Danio rerio: one gene and its partner. The protein of the gene in region 2 purifies or fractionates together with the protein of the main gene of each other region. This does not show direct contact. Links are inferred from orthologs where the notes say so. Each region holds a gene or a part of one and is shown on either strand. Other genes may lie near its edges.

What was found. Proteins that work in one complex are often made in the same cells at the same time.
Region 1: the proteins of slmapa (region 2) and strn3 purify together in Homo sapiens (affinity purification with mass spectrometry; 5 studies listed by BioGRID and IntAct, with this or other methods). This does not show direct contact. The link is inferred for Danio rerio from reciprocal best matches to the Homo sapiens genes SLMAP and STRN3.

What each region holds. Positions count from the first base shown.
Region 1 is NC_133192.1:30,198,982-30,209,651, forward strand, and holds part of strn3 (striatin-3), read left to right. Parts: intron 1-1,640; coding exon 1,641-1,744; intron 1,745-1,905; coding exon 1,906-1,979; intron 1,980-3,962; coding exon 3,963-4,044; intron 4,045-4,212; coding exon 4,213-4,389; intron 4,390-4,483; coding exon 4,484-4,622; intron 4,623-4,717; coding exon 4,718-4,859; intron 4,860-9,581; coding exon 9,582-9,718; intron 9,719-10,070; coding exon 10,071-10,246; intron 10,247-10,389; coding exon 10,390-10,437; intron 10,438-10,670. UniProt on the Homo sapiens protein: Calmodulin-binding scaffolding protein which is the center of the striatin-interacting phosphatase and kinase (STRIPAK) complexes.
Region 2 is NC_133186.1:44,730,756-44,742,036, forward strand, and holds the start of slmapa (sarcolemma associated protein a), read right to left. Parts: upstream 7,313-11,281; 5' UTR 6,122-7,312; coding exon 5,924-6,121; intron 1-5,923. UniProt on the Homo sapiens protein: Associates with the striatin-interacting phosphatase and kinase (STRIPAK) core complex, forming the extended (SIKE1:SLMAP)STRIPAK complex.

The DNA.
Region 1 (10,670 bases), on a different chromosome or scaffold from region 2:
TTTCAAATAGAGCTTTTCAAATCATCTGCTGATATTGTATTCATATCGCAATATATATATAATGTAGAAAAAGAAAACATTGCAATGTCAGATTTTTCCAATATCGTGCAGACCTAGTGTTTACCTTTGTTTTGCCTCACAGTCTCTGAATCTTTTGGCAATTCTTTGAATTTTCACTTGCATTTCTGTTTGTAAATTGAGTTTCTTTTGTCTACTACAGTAGCCACGCCTCAAATACTTGCTATTGGTTTAGCTGGAAAGTGACTGACGGATTTGAGCAAACTATACTCAAATTTTTGATAATTCCCTGTTTGCTCAGTGTTTACACATGGATGAGACAAATCCAAGAATAACATAATTAAAGTAGTCAATGAACAATAAAGTGGTTTAAAAAGAATTTTGGCACCGAGATTCACATTTAATGATACAGTAGTGATGATGGCACAAGTGTATAAGTATTTAAGTCATGGTAAAAACATTATTATTTAAGTGTTTTGCACAAATATAGCAGTTTCAGTTAGACATTTCTCACAGTTAAGAAGTCCATTGCCAGTTCTGTCCATCGCTACATGATTTAAATATTTAATATCAACCACTTGCACTAAATTGAAAAATCGAAAGTAGCCAATATATTGCATGTTTATCTTTTCCCCCAAATCAGTGCTCTGCACAATTGCTCTTTCCCCAAATGTTTGCATTATGCAACTATTGTTAATGATGTATCAATCAAGTGACGTTACATGTTTTATTGGTCAACAGCCCATGTTATTCTGCCAGTTCCTATATTGATCATCTGAGGGGATGTGTTTTTATGTTTGAACAGTATTACACAATGCTCATTGGGCTTTTGCTGATCAGATATTTGAGCTTGACCATTAAATACTTTAGAACATAAGGTGAAGGTAGTGTTGACTCGATCAATGGACTGGCGTCTCGCTGTCCTGCTTGCTATGCTGTTTTTTTTATGGGAATTAAAACTTGGGTTCTAATTAGTACATTTTAGGAGGTCTATGTACTATGTACTGTATATTTTCATTTAACAATAATATTACACCATTGAATTGTTGTGGACAACTCACTTTACCTTCACGGTTTTTACCAAAAGCACACAGGATTTCCTCTGCTAGATTACCTGCCAAACAAGTAAGGTTGTCATGAGAGTCTGCAGGAGCTCTTGTTCCTCCAGGAAGGCTGAGGGTTTGGTTGTCTATAAATACCCCTCCCCTTGCCTCCTCTCATTCACTTCCTGGCCTTTAAGAGGGGTCAAGTTGCACAGCTGCTCTCATTTGCTAATGTTAACCTGCTCTTTAGAGCTCAGTTCCTCTGGGCCACTGCCTTCCAGTGGCTTGTGTTGGTTCCTCTTAAGAAAATGAGATGAAATGATTTCAATCCAGTCAAATCATGGTTATTGATTTAAATCAAATTGATTCGCCAAGTTCACCAAGCAAATGATTCGTTCACAAACGCGTGATTTTGTGTGTGTGTGTGTGTATGTGTGATGTCAGCAAGAGCATGTCTGTTCCAAATTTGTTCTCTCATTTCGAACATTTCACAAGTTGACATCTCAGCTAAAATTTATATGCTCTGGTTTAACCTCTATTTCACGTGTTCTCATCATGACGTCTGTTTCTGTGTTGCAGGCCCGAATAGCATTCCTCCAAGGAGAAAGGAAGGGGCAGGAAAATTTAAAGAATGACCTTGTTAGAAGAATAAAAATGTTAGAATATGCATTAAAGCAAGAAAGGTTTGTGATTCTTTTTTGTAACATTAGTTATTGTAAAAGAAAATGTTGATCAAAGTAAAGCTATTTTCATATTTATATTAAAAAGCTTATGCATGTATGTGTGTGTGTGTTAGTTTATGTATGCCTGTATTTTTAACAAAGATTCTGTCTTTCATTTCTAGAGCAAAATACCATAAATTAAAATATGGGACAGAACTTAATCAAGGTGAAGTGAAAATGCCTAGCTTTGAATCAGGTAAGAGGACCCAACCTATTTTTAAAGTGTATAATATCAGGGTTCACACCCTTCTTGAAAGGACTTGAATTTCAGACATATAGTTTCAAGGTCTGTAAAGTACTTTAAAAAAATGAAGGTCCTTGAAAGTGTTTAAATTATATTTGAAATGACATTAGTTTATGGTTTTATTTTAACAATTGTACTCAATTGTCAAAAAAGAATGATAAAAACAGAAATTATTTTAAAAATGTACATTTATTCTTGTACAATAGCACTGACAAATAATGCACATTTTACCAACATTTCAGAAACCGCATTTGAATGTCACCAATATTGAATTCAACAAATTTTGTTAAAGTTCTTTAAACAGGATTTTTTAATCGGTCAAAAAATGGTTTTAATGTAAATATTAGGTGTAAATGAAATGTTAAGCACAGGAAGGCCTTTCATATGCTGGAGTGTGAATTACAAAGTGCTTGATTTAAAATTAATGGTGCTTTAAAAAGTCCTTAAGAGTCTTGAATTTGCTGTTCACGAAAGCATGGGAACCCTGTAATATACAATACAGTCTGATATCTATTATATATTTTTTTTTACAATGGACCTTTTCACAAGAGTGTTATGACGCTTTTAACAGTCATCATAATCTTAAATTCTTGAAAGTTTTTCAATATTTTTATTTTTTTTAAACGTATGTATATTTATGTTTTTACATCTTTATTATATCTTCTTTGCATGAAATTACAAAAAACGAAATGCTGATAGTGCAAGGTGTTTGTAATGCAGCATCTATGGACAGGACAGTAAATTTAATGTTGTTCTTTCTTCTGGCTGTTATTAGTATCACACTTTTTTTTTTCTTTTTCTGAAAGTCTTCATAACACCATTGTGGTGTTTTTCTTTTGAGATTTCAGCAAATAGGATTGTAAAAAAAGTTAAAATTGTTGTACTCTCCATTCACTGTGCACTAAGTTTACCTAACTATGATGACTTCTGCTACTTAGAAACCAAAAAATGTGAAATGGATCTATTTGAAATATTAAATGTATATATAATGTATTTCTGTTAAAGTTTAATTTTTCAGCATACATTCTTCAGTCATGTTATTATTATTATCATTATTATTATTAAAAATGTTACTATTACTAGTTTAACCAGATATAAAGTATGATACATTTGTAATCTATTTATGTTTGATAGCTAACAGCTTTTGAAAACTAACAGTACTTTTACTAACAGTAATATTAGTGATTAATATTAGGGATGCACTTGGTTGGAAACCTAAAGACGTTTTATGTTAATGTTTATCACTGTTTTACATTTTTATAAATTTTAAATTTTCTGATTAAAATCAACAAAATTTGAAGGTTGAGACTTTCTAGTTGTTTCATATAAAAGCAATAGACATTAGACCTACCCATAAAGTCCACACATTTAACTGTTGTAGTTTGACCTTGTTATGTCAAGCTGAGCAATCAAATTGACCCATCAGAGAATCTCCAAATAAATGTGACTTTGTTTTAATCAACCACTTCAGTCCTTCAAAACCATTTCATCCTCAATCTGAAAATAATTTTTTCTAACGGAATATCCAGAAACATTTTAATGGTTGTATGCATGTATTTTTTTGTTCTGGAATCTCAAATGTGTTTGTTATCACTTTATTTTGATGGTCCCTTTAATGCATTTTGTTGAATTTAAGTTGCATTGCATCTATATGCCAACTAATTCTCAATAGGTTATAAGTAGTGTTAGGTTGGGGTTAGGGTTACGGTTAGTGTAATTTGACATGTACTTGTAAAGTTTCAAATAGTCAGTTAAATGTGTTGATGGAGCAGAATCAGCAGATATTAAGCTGAAAGTCTACTAATACTCAAATGAGATGTAATTGACATGTAGTTGAAATGCAACTTTTAGTCAATAAAATGTGCAATAGGGACCATCAAAATAAAGTTTTGCCATGTGTTTTATTAAACTTTTGTATTTTTCTGTTTCATAAAGAAGATACCAAAGATACAGAGGTCTCAGCTATACCACAGAATAGCCAGTTAACGTGGAAACAGGGCAGGCAACTTCTCAGACAGTAAGTTAGCCTTGAGTCATTATACTTTTCCTAATGACGCTTGTGCATTCCGTGTGTGCGTGCATTTCAGTTCTGCTAAGAAAGTTCATAGGCATCTGTGTTGTCACGTTATCACTATTTATATCACCGGCTCTGTTCTGACCGACTTTACGCATCTGTCTTTTCAAGATATCTTCAGGAAGTAGGTTATACGGACACAATACTGGACGTCCGGACGCAGCGAGTGCGGTCATTACTAGGACTGTCCGGCTCAGAGCAGAATGGTTCCGTGGAAACCAAGAACCTAGAACAAATTCTAAATGGAGGCGAATCTCCAGCCAAAAGAAAGGGACAAGACATGAAAAGGTGTTGATTGATTTGATTTGATGCAACTGGTAAATTCATATAAACAATTAAATGAGATTTCTTAACGTTGTCTGTGATGCCTTTTGTTTAACAGGAATCCAGAAGTTCTGGAGACATTTAATTTTTTAGAAAACGCTGATGATAGTGATGAAGAAGATGATGATGAGGGTGATATAATGGAGGATGTGCCTGACAGGAGCGATAAACGCAGAATAAAAAAACATAAGATTAAGGTGTGTAACCAGGATATTTTACATGTCAATGATCTCAAAGTAGTCATTCTCAGGATATAGAAGTTCATGTGTTGTAGTCTTGACTACTTTTCCAGGTCGGAAATGAAGGATTGGCTTCAGACTTGCCGGATGACCCTGACACAGAGGACGCACTCAAAGAGTTTGACTTTTTGGTGAATGCGGAGGATGGAGAAGGTGCTGGGGAAGCTCGGAGTTCTGGAGACGGCACAGAGTGGGGTAAATAGTTTGCTTTTTACTTTAATGCTGCTTTACTATGGTACATCACACTTTTGGGAGATTTGCACTGTGCAGAGTACCTGGTATACCTCTGTTGAGTTTTGAAGTGAGCTGTGCAGAAACTAAAAGAGAGAATCGTCACTACCTGCGTCATTGTAACACGACACAACAAACCTGCAAGATGTAAATAAATAGTCAGCATCAGCCGCTGTGGGATTATTTTCAATGACTGACACGCATCTTCTAATGGCTGTATCATGGTCAGTAGAGAAGGTGCAGACGTTCCTCATGTTGATATTCAAGAAGCAGATCCAGTGTGATCTGGATGTGGCAACCAGGAATTAGGTTACATTTTAGTAGATGCGGTGCAAAAAAACGTATAATCTCATCCACTTTGCTTTTTTTTAACCACACAGTGAAAAAGTGACTTAAGGCTACATTTTCTTGTCAACAATGTAACCAAAAACTGAAAACTTTTTTTACTTGCATTAAAAAAAAGTTTCACATTTACATATCTTTTTCAAAATACATTTATGAAAATGTCCTAAAACACTGATTTATATTTGGCAGAGCAGTATTTGATGTTTTCACCTTGTTAGTAGGGCTGCATAATGTTAAAAAAACTGATATGGCAATATTTAGTTTTGCTGCGATATAATATTGCGTTATGAATATAATCACTAGATTCACTGAATAGCTCCAACCTATTTGGAAAGATGTCATTCTTTGAGATTGACTGAGGTGATCAAATCTATTTCTATGCAGTGTGTCTAAATATGACAGAGTAAAAATAAAAGTTTAATAAACAGTGCTTTTTTTGTGGAGTCTAACAGTATTCAAATACAAAACCATACAAAAATATTGTACAAATCATTGTTTAAACCTTGTATGCAATAATATAAAAATTATATTCAGCATTTTCTTTATATTTTGATATTTAATCAATTGAATACTGCGATGTGACTATTGTGGAAAAACACATTGCGAAATCAATGCGCAAGCGGTATATTGTTCAGCCCTACTTGTTAGAAAATAGTACCCCAAGGAAGGAATGATGTTCAGTTGGCGGCTCTGCGCTGATGTTTATGTAGAATTCAAAGTGTGTAAGATGCGTCTATGCTGTTGCTTGTAATGCAAAGTAAATCCACACCTTGCTCCTGAAGCATTAGCCAACAGTTGAGCATCAACAACACTAGCATGTACTGTGCCACTGTTGTGTGTTTATTTGGGCTTGCCTTTAATCTGCATCTCCCTAAATGTGCACACACATGACGTCATTGTGTAAGCCCCAAAAAAATAGTTATTGAAAAAAAGGCGACAATGTTCTTAATAACTTTAACTTTGAAATCCATTTTCATATTTATGCAGGTAATGTCACAGAAATGCTAAACGAACAAGCAAAATACTTCAAACGTTTTGAGATATTGGCTGAAATTGTTGTCGCATAAAGAGCCACTAAGTGTGACTGAGTATAATTTGTGTTATTGAGTGAAAAACACAGGTCACATTGGTGTGCAAGTCTATAATTCATTCCAAAGTAGTATGAAATTGGCTGCCAGTAGCCCTAAATAAACTGAAATGCCTACAGACATTATAAACGTATATTCTACTATGTCACTCTACAACAAATCTTTTTAATAGTGCTCAGTACAGAAAAGGAACAATAGGTATGAAAAAACTATCAAGAATAAAAAGCAGTTGTTATGTCAGTGGCTGAAAGCATAATTCAATATAAATGTCAAGTCTAAACTTGTTTATTCAAAGCAAAACTGAAATGATTAGCATTATTATATATATATATATATATATATATATATATATATATATATATATATATATATATATATATATATATATATATATATATATATATATAAAATATGTGCTATAATCTAAATAGTTGTGTGTCTCATTCATCACCAATCCACCAATGCATTTGTTTTGCTCACCTCATACTAATTCCATTAAGTCACTTTGGAGTTTAGGTTGCATCCTTTTTAAATGAAAAAATGTCTTATATTTTGAAATACATAATAATTGTCAAGTGATGAAACAGGGCACATCTCTTAATATTCTTACAGGATTTGAGTGTTTGATTATTAAGCAGGACATCCTTATTAGTGTGTAGTATTGAAATATGGACTGAAATTTAAAGGTTCATCCAAACAAGAACTATTTATTATCAACCCAGCCTAGTGTTGATCCAGCTCTGTTTTTTATATTAGATTTTAGAATGTTCATTTATTTGTGATTGGTCAAATCAAAAGTGGTTTATATTGAAGACTTCTAAACAGGACATCATAGCACCATAGTGATGCTATAATTGTTTTTTTTTTTTATGACAACAGATTTTCAGCAGCCATTACTTGTCACATGATCCTTTAGAAGTAAATAAAACATATTGATGTGTTAATAAAGAATATAATTTTTTTATTGCCCCAAATATGACATTGTTGATTTTGACTTTTTGTGGTCTTACAAAGCTTGGAACATACAGGTGATGATGATAGTCCATTAGTAAACATTAGCATTAATGTTTAGTGTATGGAAATGAGCTGTTTTGACATTATGCAAGTTTGCTAGTCTTTTAATTAAAGAAAAGAGACTGCATAAATGTGAAAACATAATGAACTATATGAATCTGTGTCTGTATGGGCATGTGTGTTCCTTGCATGTGATTGTGGCACACACCGGCCCTGCAGTAGAATCTTAACGAGGCCAGTTGCTGCATCAGCATTCCTGCCAGGAGATTCTCTTACTGCTCCGACCAGAGCCAGCTGGGTCAAACACATCAGCTCATTACATCCATCCCGCAGCCGTGCTTTTTCTTTTTGTATCTCTCACTCTTTTTATCTTACTCACTTCTCTTTGACCTATTTCTAAGCTAAGGATTATGTAAATCTTACTATAGAGTATGCATTTTTGATAAAGTAGCATAATTATGTGTGAAGTGTCACCCCTAAATTGGGATGTTTATTACATTTAAACATTTGATCAATACGTGGTGTATTCCTGAAACATAAACTCTGTTGATTAACCCAGACTTTTGTTTCTGAACGTTTCTTCATTCCAAAAGTTTGCAAGCAAAGTTACCTTTTCAAAGTGAGCATTTTAACTCCAGGTCCAGGTGTATCATAATTCTTTCTTTTAATTCGTCACACCCATTGCGGCTTCATTAATAAGACATGCATGCACCTAACACCTCTAAAGTAAATTAAGCCGGAAACATAAACCTCTCTAAAGCAGTTGTTCAGAAAGAATTTGTAAGGAATATTTGGCTACAGATTGTACAAGCAGGTTTGTACAAGCAAGATTGTCCTTCAGAAAAAAGGATGTTTTTTTTTTTTTTACAAACAGTGTCTGACATAAGGAAGTTAAATGAGTAAAAGGGAAAGAACGGTCAAACTAAAACAGATTTCCAGAAGAAATGTTATTTAAGTAGCATTTCAAACCACATATGAATGTTACTTGAATAGAGTTTGTAAATATGTTTTTTATTTTTATATTTACGTTCACAGTAAAAATAAGTGATTGTGGATAGCCGGGCAAGTTTTTATTGGTCAAAAATGATTAAGTAGTGTGGATACTAGCAGCTCATTTCCACTGATTGTTACGGTCCGGTATGGTATGATTCGGTATGATTCGGTATGCTTTTATGGCCATTTCCACTGTCAAAAAGTACCAACGAGCAAACCGTAGCGTACCACTTTTTAGGTACCCTTTTGGAAGGTTACCTATCACAACAAATGGGTTACAAAAGGTGGAGCAAGACGCACAGCTGAACGCTATTGGTTTACAGAGAAGCATCACTAGCTCATGTGCAAGCCAGGTGAATGAAAACAAAGGAAGCTTTTTTTTTTTTTTTTTAAACTGCCATGTTTACCTATTATCATTGCCTTCTCAACTATTAAGAACTCTAAATGATGGAATTACTTTCTAACAGAGGCTACATGTGCTAGTGAAGATTGAATATGCAGTTGAGAGGTCTGCACTGACTTTGGGCTATATTGTGTGTTGTTTTTGAACCCCAAATAAGGAAATGTATGCTGTGTGCCGTTATTTTTTAATGAGTAACATATCGGAGACTTGGTTTGTATGTTTTCATGCATGTTGCATTTATTTATTTTATATAATTGCAGATGTTACAGTAGGTTATTTCGCCTTATCATTGATCTGCCATCAATGTAACTGTAACAACTTGGTTTTAAAAAGAATTGTATTTGTGTAAATGACACTTTAGAATCCATTTTTGTGTTAGGCTCTGTTTTTTGTTGAGCTCATTACAATTGCATGCTCAAAGCTAGCTTTTTTTATTTTTTTTTTATTTTTTACTTTTAACCATTTCAAAAGTGGCAGAAAAATGGAAGCTTCAACTTTCTCTATTGTTATCCATTGTACCCTTGGCTTGCTTATTTTACACTGTTAGAGGATGGTAGATCATACTCCCAAAGATTATAAAAAGACCATAGATATATCCACCCATTACCTTCACCACAAAAAAATAGGGAAGTGGACAAAAGTGTTAGGTTAAAACACTGGGTAACAAGAAATGGATCTCATCTATCTCTAATCGACCCCTAATTGCCTCTTACCAGTGGCTTACAGATTTATTAAGCTGTTAACTGCTATAAAACATATTACTGTATTGCTTAAGCCCCGTTTTCCACTCCAAGGTGTGGCGCCTTGTTTACTGGGCCCTTCTCTTCTATTTTCTATTCTTAGCTGAGCCTCTGCCATTCACGCCTGGTGGGGGCAAGTCCTTTATCATGGGTTCTGATGACATGTTGGAAAGTGTGCTGGGCCTGGGAGACCTCGCCGATCTGACTGTTTCCAATGACGAGGCTGAATACAGCTATGATGTAAGTACCCAGACTGCTCCTCTGCTTTAATAATACTTTACACTGGCATTAATAAATAATAGCATCGACTTGAAAAACACTGTCTGATCCCCTGCTTAATTTTTAAATGCAGTATTGTTTAACTATCAGTTAATTGTTACACAAAACAAAGCCCATCATGTTTACTCAAATGTCTTGTACTATATTAGTTTCATTCTGTATAAAGGTTACAGAGAACATCAGTTGTTCATGCCTGGTGTGCTTTGCTGTGTACTCAGATAGGACAGCTATCCTATTCTCTTACTGTCAATCCTTAATGAATCAATCATTTCACAGTTATTCCAATGCCTTTAAAATGCCCCCCTATTTTTAGCTGCCAGCCAATAAGGATGCATTCAGGAAGACATGGAATCCCAAATATACCCTGCGTAGCCACTTTGATGGAGTGCGAGCCCTGGCTTTCCATCCTGTAGAGCCGGTGCTGGTCACAGTCTCAGAAGATCACACGCTCAAACTGTGGAACCTCCACAAGACCGTTCCTGCCAAAAAGTAAGTGCTCGCAGTGGCCTTCCAAGGAAAGCAATGTCCTGAGTTTGAATTAATGTTTTACATAGCCGCATTGATTTCAAAATGTTTTTTATCTGTAACAGCTCTAAATAAACCACTAAACACAGTTTTAACTTGCTTTGCAGAAGTGCCTCTTTTGATGTGGAGCCTATATACACGTTTAGAGGGCATATGTAAGTATTTGTTATTACCTTCTTTGTTTCACTTATTGGTTTTTGGTGTGTGATTTTGACCATAAAGTAACATCTTGATTTTTAGGCGAGGGTTATTAATTCAAGCGATTAGTTCAAAATGTCAGATTCATTTTGACCTGAAGCAAAGGACTGTCTTAATGAAGAGATTATTGAGTTATTAGCTCACTTGATTTGTTCATTCAGGGACAAAACCCTGCAAAATGTTCTCCTCC
Region 2 (11,281 bases):
ATCTGAATCAGGTGTGTTTGGATAAGGAGACATGGAAAATGTGCAGAGCTTGTGGTCCTCCAGAAACATGGTTGAGAAACACTGCTCTGAAGGATTTCTCAGCATATCAAGCAATGAAGTTACATGCCAACACACATGAAACCAAGCAAAATGGACATGCTGTTTTTGTTTTGGTCCCAAAATATAATATTAGCATGGATTACGAAATACATATGACCAATTAATCAAGCCATGTGAGGAAAGCAATAAGGCATTAAAGTAGGAACTCCAGTTTCCTCTAGGATTTTTTTCCAGCTGTGGAGGCAGATCTTTTTTTTTTACACAGATCAACCAACTACCTATAGCATAATTTGTCAATGACAAAGGTTGTGAGCGCAGTATCACAAGTCGAGATCACATTTATGTAATAGTCTACAAGAATGCAAATCTCTTTGCTTACGCGGCGATTTCCTCGGCTCGTGCACAAAACTTCTTGCACGGCCTCAAATATAAGCTGCTCAAGCGCAGATCTTCTTGTGCGCTCTCAAATAAACGCTGCTGAAGTGCAATTTAGTTTGTTTATGTAACGACTATGTCTCCAACATTTATTAGATATGCTAGGAATATTTATGAATGTCTCCAATAGACCTACAGAGCGATATTATTGTGTCCTGAAGTAAAGTGAAACATCTATACGTCGTGTTTGCTGGCCTCACACAGCAAGCACCTGTCAGTCAGTCAGCACGTCACCTTAAAGGGTTAAACAAATGACGCACATCATTACTACGGTTACAGAAAAGTTTGCGCTGTTATAATTCACTTACCTTTTAATATGTTTTGGTGCGATTATTATCCGCTATTAAAAAAAACACGACTGGATGTTTTGAATGAGAAGCTGTAATGTAGCCGTGGCTTAATTATATAAATTATTTTTGTTTGTACACATTGTTATAATGTCTAACTGGTTTTATGCAACAGTAAAACATGGCTTTTAACTTTGTTGTAGGGCTGCATGATTAATCAAAAAAAGATTGCAAACTCGATTCACTTAATTCAGCTTTTCTTCAATTTAGACATTTATATTTTCAAGGTCAGGAGAGAAGTGTAAAGAGTCTTTAAATTGTTTTATATACGTTACGCAGCAACATGGACACCTCCAAATTGCATTAAAAGTGTCACATACTGTATTCATAAGGTATAATTCACACAAAAAGTCATTTCTGTCTTAATGTAATGATGGAAGCTAATCACGGCGGCGAAATCACAAGCTGACGCAGTTTGTTTACTACCAAGAGGATGCGAGCGTGCCCATCAATGACATCTACTTTAGTGAACAAAACCTGCATAGGCTGTAAATAACAGCTAATAAAGCTGAAAAATAACTTTCGGTTTGTATGGTTTGCATGTATGTTTTTTTTTTCTCAAAGTGACGACAGCCATGACATGAGTGCACTCGGCAGTGAAAGTGAAACTGAAAGTATTCACATCATTTAAACGATCATATCGCATTTCACAGTTATGATTACAACAAGCACTGGATATGTTTTTTCTTTCATAGCGAAGTGTTGTGCATGGCTGCATACAAATACATTTTAACAGGGTCGGTATAACTACTCTAGCCTATATAATGTTGAGCATTATGCATGAAGAAAATCTGATAATGCTGCCTGATCATACGGGAAAAAACATAAGTATTTTACGTTGTCAATTTAGTGGCTAATTTGTATGAATTCGTAAGAGTTCAGTCGTACAAAATTGTACGATTTTAAAAAGGAGGCGTGGCACCCAACCCCACCCTTAAACCCAACCATCAGTATGGGATAAGCAAATCATAGGAATTAGATCATACAAACTCATACGAATTAGCCACTAAATCAAAAAGTTACGAATTGCCATGAGATTGTGTCGGATAATGACAAATGTTTCATTATAACAGTAAAATAAAATGGTCTAATAATGTTGTCAATGACAAGCATATGTCTCAATAATTTAACATCAGAATTATGAATAGTTGTATTCTTATGTCATCACTTTACTGTGAATTAACAAACAGGATATCTCTCTAAGTCTATATCAAATTTAGCCTTTTAATCAACAGTAGACCCACACACAGGCCTAATATTATTATTGTTGTTTTATAATATTTCTGGGAAATAACAATGACATTAGCCTACTTATATCAACAATTATTTTATCTACAGAATCGCGAGAAAATCATGATCTTTATTTAAAGCAAAAACAAATCATGACTCTCATTTTAGCCAGAATCATGCAGCCTGACTTTGTTATCCTAATGCTTTCCTTTTTCTGAAATTACATAAAACCTTTTGGTTATAACATTTTTACAATAATGTATCTGATATTACACACTGCATTATTTAGCATGCTATCGCATATCTCATTTTTCAACATTGCACAGCCCTACTGGGTATGTCCATGGATACTGCATAGTGAAACATGTTCTGCTCCTTTCAACAGGATTATTTTACACTTTCATTCACACATGATGCTGTGGGAGACGCAATAATAATGCGAGTACCAGGAAGCTAAAAAAAAAAAAAAAAACCTGGACATCCAATTACACAAGCCAGACTAGAGAGTCAGAATTAACAGCCATAAATTTTTACATAAACACATGCAGCATATAGATGCCACAACAATATTTCACTACAGTTTACTAAACACAATCCAGCAACGTCACGCATGTTAGCCGCAGAGTTTATTTGATGCTGTAAAAAGGCTTGTACCTTCCTGACAGATATTATGAGACAACACGACTGTGACAGACAGCATGTAATGGCAAACATTCAGGTCATAGCCGCCATGTCTCAAAATCATCACAATATAGATAACAGATGCCTGAATTAAGATTATCAGGTCAAATCTGATCAATTGTGAAAATTCAATTCTACCATAAATGTCCAAAAGTGTGTCTGAAAGATACTGGTATACAAACAAAGTCATGAACACCCGTTTTAAAGTGAATTGTTTTAAAACTCACTTTAATATGTTAGAGTTGGATATAATGCAACATACTTTGTGTGCGCACCTGACCTGAACCCTTACATTTTGGAATCTTCAAAGCTAGAAATTGGCCATTTCTACAGAACAAAATTAATAAAGGTGAAAAAACATCTGATCAAAGCAACATGGAAGTTTTTGCATAAGCACTCCGATGTTGTAGAATTTACTAAACAGCAGAAGTTAACTAAAGAAGATTTACACCTCAATAAAACTGGTGTCAAGCACACTACATGGTACGTCACTGCCAATGACCACTGGAAGGTCATAGAGGTTTTAAAAGCCCATCGAGCCTAAGTACGCTTGGGGCTTCGGCAAACTGCAAATTCCAATGGTCTCAAACTCAATTCCTGGAGGGCCGCAGCTCTGCATAGTTTAGCTCCAACCACCTCCAACTCACATCTGCTTAATAGTCTCTAGTAATCTTGAACACCTTGATTATTTGAATCGGCTGTGTTTGATTGGGGTTGGATCAAAACTGTGCAGATCTGTGGCCCTCCAGGAATCGAGTTTGAGACCTATGGCATATTCATATAATTATTGTCAATATTATACATACTTTTGTTACTATTTTTTTTTTTACCAAATTACAAAATAAAGTTGTTATTAAATATATTTGTTACTAAATATTAATTTCATAAAATGAATTACTTTATGTTCTTGGTATTTACACACATTAAAGCCGGGGTGTCAAATTCATTTCCGGGAGGGCCCCAGTCCGGCACAGTTTAGTTTCGGCCTCACTGCACTTTTCTCCCCATAGACTTCAATTTATACACACACGAATGCGTCAGACTGGAAACGCAAGCTTATGTGAAAAGTTTAGCAGTTCGCTACATTGGAAAGTTCAAGCTTGGTGAGCTCTGACCTGCGAAATCACATCACATGATGGCGTGAGACCAATTGAAGTTGAAAACATGACCTCTCTGGACAGAAAATTAATATATGGACCTATCGCTCCCTTTTTTTTAAATGTCTAACCATCTTTTTTAATCCTATTCGCAGCGCCGTACAACAGAATTACGCACGCACAAACTCTAGCGTGACCGCAGTATTACCTTTAGGTTTCAAACAAGCCTGAAGGACTTAACTAAAAAATTAGTTGGATTAGGTGTGTTTAATTAGGGTTGGAACTAAATTGTGCAGAGCTGTGGCCCTCCAGGAGTTTGACACAATGCATTAAAGGGACAGTTCACCATTTACTTTATAAATTTCTTCTCTTAAACATAAAACAAGATTTTCTAAAGAATATTCAGCCATTGACATAAAAAACAGCTATTGACATCCATAGTATAAATGTAAAAATACTAAAGTCAGTTGCTTTCTCTGACATTCTTCAATAAACCTTTCTTTCTGTTCAAAAGAAGAAACAAACTCAGTTTTAGAGCAAGTGGACTTTCATGGCAGAATTTACATTTTTTATGTGAACTATCCCTTTAAAAGCTCATTGAAATAGTGTTTTTTTTTGCTCATTGAATCTTTGGATTAGTTTTAAGAAAAAGCTAATATATTTACTATATAACACAGGGGTGTCAATTTCAGTTCCTGGAGGGACGTTGACCTGCAGTCTAGTTCCAAACCTGCTTCAACACTCTTACCTGTGTGTTTCAAACAAGCCTAAAGAATTCAATTAGTTTCATCAGGTGTGTTTAATTAGGGTTGCACTAAACTGTGCAGAGCTGCGGCCCTCAAGGAACTGAGTTTGACACCTGTGATCTAATGCAGTGTTTCTCAACCACATTACTGGAGGACCACCAGCTCTGCACATGTTCCTAGACTGTCTCTTAATTCCTAGAACGCTGAGAACAGAGAACGCATCCTGTGAGAAATGAGATGCTGTGTTCTTCCCTGGGTCTTCCTGATGGTGACGTGACCTTCACATGTTTTTAATGGAATATGGTTTAAACATTACAGCATTCCTACAACAACGATTTATTGTTTTCCCCCATACATAATATATACCATGCATAAAAAAAACGTACAAATATATGCTTCACAATACAAATAAAACTAATTTTAACACGAATTTCAACAAGTAAACACCCTTTATGTGCTTATGCCATTATTATGATTTACATGGTAATGTTTAAATTCACCGTCTCATTTAGGGAAACTCCTGAAGTAAATAAGTTACATCTCTAAACTTTAATAATAAATCTAAATAAAATGCTGCGCTTCCCACCTCCTTCATACAGCCACAACGACTTCTAGGACTTCTCAAGCAAGTTTTGTGCTCAAGTCTGCATCGATGACTCTACGATATCAAGAACACATCTGGCAACTTTCACGCGTCCTCCGTTCTTGCCGTCTTGAGTTTTGGAACTGAACATAGGCAGTTAATGACGACATTACAGAAGAACACGAGGACGCAGGATCGCTGAAAAACGCCTATTGAGAAACACCCCATGTTTCCTTAACCAAACACACCTGATTTAGATCATCAGCAGAGACTGAAAGACCTGTAATGAATGTAACAGATAAAGGAGACATCCAAAATATGCAGTGTTGGTGGTCCTACAGGAACGTGGTTGAGAAACACTGATCTAATGCAGTGGTATATTTAGCCATAAATTCCATCTTAATCTACTTTTGGGTGGGGATATTATCTATATAATCCTAGTACAGACAATTGTGACAACATTGACAGATAGATACAAAGAAAATCTTAATAATTCAAGAAAGATGGAGGTGGATATGTCAAACACTGAAAAAAATATTCATTGGACTTACTAACTTTTTTGAGGCAAGTGGTTGCAAACAATTTATATAGACTGAATTTAAACAAACTAAATGTAGTAACGTTTATTTGTTTAAATTCAGCTCATGCTAATTTTTGCAACCACTTACCTTAAAAAAAATAAGTACATCTAATGAATAATGTTTATAGTTAACATCCAATCTATTGGTGAAACATCAGACTTACCTTGCCTGTCTTGTGGTCGAACCATACCAGAGCGTGATTCCTCGACAACACTTTGCAGTCGAAGGTGGCGTTGTTTTGGGCAGGGCGACACCGGGCCACGGAGCGCCCGATCTTGACCGGCTCATCCAGGTAAACATGGCGTTCCTGAAACGGGTGTGAATTCGGGCGGCAGGAGAACACGGCCAGCGCTGAAGGCATTGAGGATGGCTTGGGAGTGTTACTCCAACCAGAGACGAAAGACAGGGTTTCTTGATCCAGACTGACCTGTTGCTCCAATTCTTCCTAATGAATGACCAGCAGACCAACGCACATAGTAATACGAAAAAAATTCCAACTCTACAAAAAGACCCCTGCTAAACCGACTACATAACGTCAACAAGACTGTATATTTATACACTATGTAGATGACTTCTTGCCCCCTTGCGAGACCCCCATGTTGCCGAACCAAACCCAATACAGCTGCCCAATTCCATACAAATCTGGGTGTCCAGATGACAGTCCACAATTCGAGCTGTTATACTTCGTTCCCAACACAATTCATCCTCGTCCCCCTTTACAAGCATAGGCCTGGCCAGTAAACAACCCAGCAACTAGTACACCAATAACCTGTTGAATTGGTCAACCTTTACTCCTAAAAAAAAAAAAGAAGTATTACTGTCAAGTTGACATGCGTGTCTATATTTAGAGGGAATGACTGCTAGGCACGAAATGCACTTGTGAAAATGTTAAACCGTAATGAAGATTAATAATAATGTGAGTGGGTTTGGCTGAAGTATGCAGAGCAGACCATCAAGCCACCACTCCCCAAGACAGAGTAATTAATATTGAAAAATACCTCAAATGCCTACTTAAACAGACTTCAAATGCAAGTATTTAGCTGTCAGGATTGTATACAAGAGCACAGCTCGCGCGGAGGGTGTTTTCTTGCGCACGAGAGCGTTAGCTGGCTAACTTCATATTAGCTTGTTAGCTTCGCTGAGGTAACACTGGCCTTCTACTTTCACCTTATCGAGCCGTCCAAGCTGGAAGAGACTTTATAAATAACCCCGAGCTGATTTATCCCCGAAAACCAGCTATTTGTTCGGTCTGTGGAACTTTCATGCGCGGAGAATTTGCGTAAATCCAGTATTAGCTCGCGAGCTCGGTAACTAGCTTAGCCTGCTGAGAGACACAAAAATTTCCCCAGAAAAGAAAGTCATACACGAATAAAGTCCATGACACGGTCCCGTGTTAAGCCATGGAGGTCTCCGCTTTTCGGAACGCTGAAATCGGGAGGGAAATCGTTGTGTGCGACGGGATAATTGGAAGTAAGTCGTCCTCTTGAAGAGATATACACACACATACACACCGGCCACAAACCGCCGCGGGGCTCGCGCACCACCGAGATATGGGGCGGGGCTTTGCGGTGACGCGAAAATGTAGGCGGATCCGCGTTTCCAGAGAAAAAGGATGACGTTTTTCATGCGGATTGAAAATAATGTTTGTTTGTTCATTTTTCGGATGCTATTTTTTTCTTTTGTAATAGCATTTCATTTACAATCAACAAGCAAGACAACAACAGGTAAAACAATTTGTTGAACAGACAAAAAAAGTATGGAGCCAGTCAGATCAGTCTCAAAAATAATACATGTACATAATAAAACTCCTCCATGCACAGCACAATTCACATTTACAACATCCAGTTTGTAAATTCAAAACACAACTTGTAAATACAACCAACAATTTGTAAATTCACAAGCAAAAATCATAAATACTTTCACCAAATTAATTAGATTTGTGTATTTTTGTATAGTGTTTTCAATTTACGAATTGGATTTGTGTATTTATGAATCACATTTTAAATTTACAAATTGAATTTGAGTAATTATAAATTGCATGTAAACTTATGAATTGGATTGAGTATTTTTGAATCGCGATTTGTATTTACGAATCTGATTTGTGTAAATGAATCGCATTTTCAGTTTATGAATTGGATTTGTGTATTTATGAATCGTGTTTTGAATTTACGAATTGGATTTGTGTATTTATGAATCATATTTTAAATTGACTAATTAGATTTGTGTATTTATGAACCACGTTTTGAATTTACCAATTGTATTTGTGTATTTATGAATCACGTTTTGAGTTGACGAATTGGATTTATGTATTTATGAATCACGTTTTGAATTTACGAATTGAATTTGTGTATGTATGAATCGCGTTTTGAATTGACGAATTGGATTTGTGTATTTATGAATCGCGTTTTGAACTCACAAATTAAATTTGTGTATTTATGAATCGCGTTTTGAACTTACGAATTAAATTTGTGTATTTATGAATCACATTTTAAATTTACCAATTGGATTTTTGTATTTATGAATCACGTTTTAAATTTACGAATTGTATTTGTGTATTTATGAATCGCATTTTGAGTTGACGGAATGTATTTGTGTATTTATGAATTACGTTTAGAATTTACGAATTGAATTTGTGTATTTATAAATCGTGTTTTGAATTGACAAGTTAGATTTGTGTATTTATGAGTCGCGTTTTGAATTGACGAATTGGATTTGTGTATTTATAAATCGCGATTTTAATTTATGGATTGGATTTGTGTATTTATGAATCATGTTTTCAATTTACAAGTTGGATTTGTTTATTAATGAATCTCGTTTAGAATTTATGAATTGGATTTTGTAACTGTAACTTGAGTTGTGAATATATGAATTATATTATTTAAATGTAATATTTTTGAGACCAATCTGGCTCTATAAAAAGGGCTCTAACAAATAAACACAACAAAGAACAACAAAAAAGTCATCATACAAATAAGAGATTCACATAAACAAATAAAAATTATAAACTAGTAAACAAACATATGGCCTGATAAACAAATACCATACTTTTTTAATTAAGATTTCCCATATACTTTTTAGTTCATACTTCTGTATATTTTTAAATGCATTTTTTCTGTCTTTATTTTTATAATTGTTTATTTCCACATCTATACCCATATTTACCTATACATGTACCTATATTATATCTATATTTTACCTATATATGTTTATTTTAACAGAATATTCTTGCATCAAATTGTCTATAATAAATGTTATTGTTGCATATAATGTAAATTCTAGATGATTTACATAAAGTTGCATTTTAAAAGAACATTGAAAGAGTTTCCAAGCCACTTTTCCTTTATCTCAAGATGGCAATTATTGAAAAAACAGACCACTTGGTGAACATAGACAGAGCAAAATGGATCCAAATCACCAGAATCAAAGCATTTTCAAGGTACATCTTCCGCTAGACTTTGAGTAAAATTCACATAAATGTATTTATAAATCATCTTTGGAAAGTATTTTAGTTTCAGGAAGAAGGAGAGGCTTTCAAAGCACACCCCGCCCCAAGTCCCTCTGTTTGGACTTGGAATCTGTGGACTAAATTGCACTGAACATCTGTCATACCAAATGGAGCATGCTGATTTGACTCTAATGTCTTGCTCAGACTAATCCAATTGTTTTGTCTCTTATGTGACCCATATGAAGTAATTAAGTGATCACTGTTGGAAAACCTATGAAAACAATAATGTGGCTCAATGATGCACCTGGGACATTATATGTTAAATGTCCATATATTAGACCGCAATATTAACTAGTCCCTGCTATGTTAATTTGATTGGAGACAACAGGGAGTCACCATGCAAGCGTGCCACAGAAATAAACAACCAATACTAAACAGGCCTTAATCAAACTGTATTTGACCTAAAATATATATTGTATTGGATTAAGTAAATTAAATTAGACATAATTATGCAACTTCACTGTAACATGAATTCCTCAATTACACAAATTGAAGGTATTCAGCTTGGTGGTGCATTTTTTTATTAGGCCCACTTGGAATCTGCGCACACAGAAATCTGCCGACTTCCGCAGATTTTTAGCCCATCATAGAGTTTATTTATTTACTTGTGTAAATGTTTGTACATTTATATTTATTCAGTTTTTAATTTACTTTTAGTAATGGTATTGACTAATATGAAGGTGTTAATTTGATTTATTAACAATACAGTTTGTAAAGTAATCTTGTCTTTTAGTAGATATATTATCTTTTAGTGGCGCAGTAGGTAGTGCTGTTGCCTCACAGCTAGAAGGTCGCTGGTTCGAACCTCGGCTTGGCGTTTCTGTGTGGAGTTTGCATGTTCTCCCTGCCTTCGCGTGGGTTTCCTCTGGGTGCTCCGGTTGCCCCCACAGTCAAAACACATGCGGTACAGGTGAATTGGGTAGGCTAAATTGTCCGTAGTGTATGAGTGTGTGTGTGTGAATGTGTTTGTGAATGTTTCCCAGAGATGGGTTGCCGCTGGAAGGGCATGCGCTGCGTAAAAACTTGCTGGATAAGTTGGCGGTTCATTCCACTGTGGCGACCCCGGATTAATAAAGGGACTAAGCCGACAAGAAAATGAATGAATAATACACTTGCCTTAAATACTGTACATAATTTCAACAGTTCTGTATAAATAAATTCTGAGAAGCAGAGTAATCGTATGTTTTATTATACACTCTCAGAAAAAAGGTACATGGTGGTAAAGAGCTCTTTATGATACTGTTCTGTACCTTTTATGGTACATTTGAAATGAATATACACACTTGTTCTCATACAAAAAGGTACATAAGAGTTAAACAGCTCCTTCTTTATTACAATATCTATGAAAATAAGTATGGCTGGAAAGGCAAAGTGATTTAATGAATAATTTTTTATATTAAAACATGAATCATCATTTAAAAGCAAATGTTTAAAAAACTCATAAACATTAATTATTAAGTTCTATAATACAAAACAACTGGTAAAACAAAACTATAGGTATTGTAAACTAAACATTTAAGGCATTTTTAATAAACATTTGGAGAGCATTTTCTGATAAACACAGTTTCATTATTGATATCTGCACCTTGTGGCGTTTGCTTTTCACTACACACCTGAGCTGGCAAAAGTCCTGCAAATGTGAAGTGTTCATGCTGACATTTTAGTAAACTAATCAAACATTGTGCATATCTCATTACAATACTCTATTTCTATTTTGAAATTAAGTAAATTAAATGAACTTTTAAGTGTTTACAAAGGTGTTGAGTGAAAATTGGAGAAAAAAGTTTTACATTGTACATGGGAGAATGAGTTTCTGTAACATTTTTGTGAAAAGTGCTGTGAAATATTTAGCAAAAAATAGATCTTTTGAATGATGTTTAAGTATTTTTTATTCTTTATTGTAAATGAAAAAAGGTGTATTTACACATAAAGTAACTTAAAAAAGCATTGCTTAAAAAATTTATTTGATGTTTTATATTTACTGAAAATAAATCAACACATTTTGGATAAAGAAAA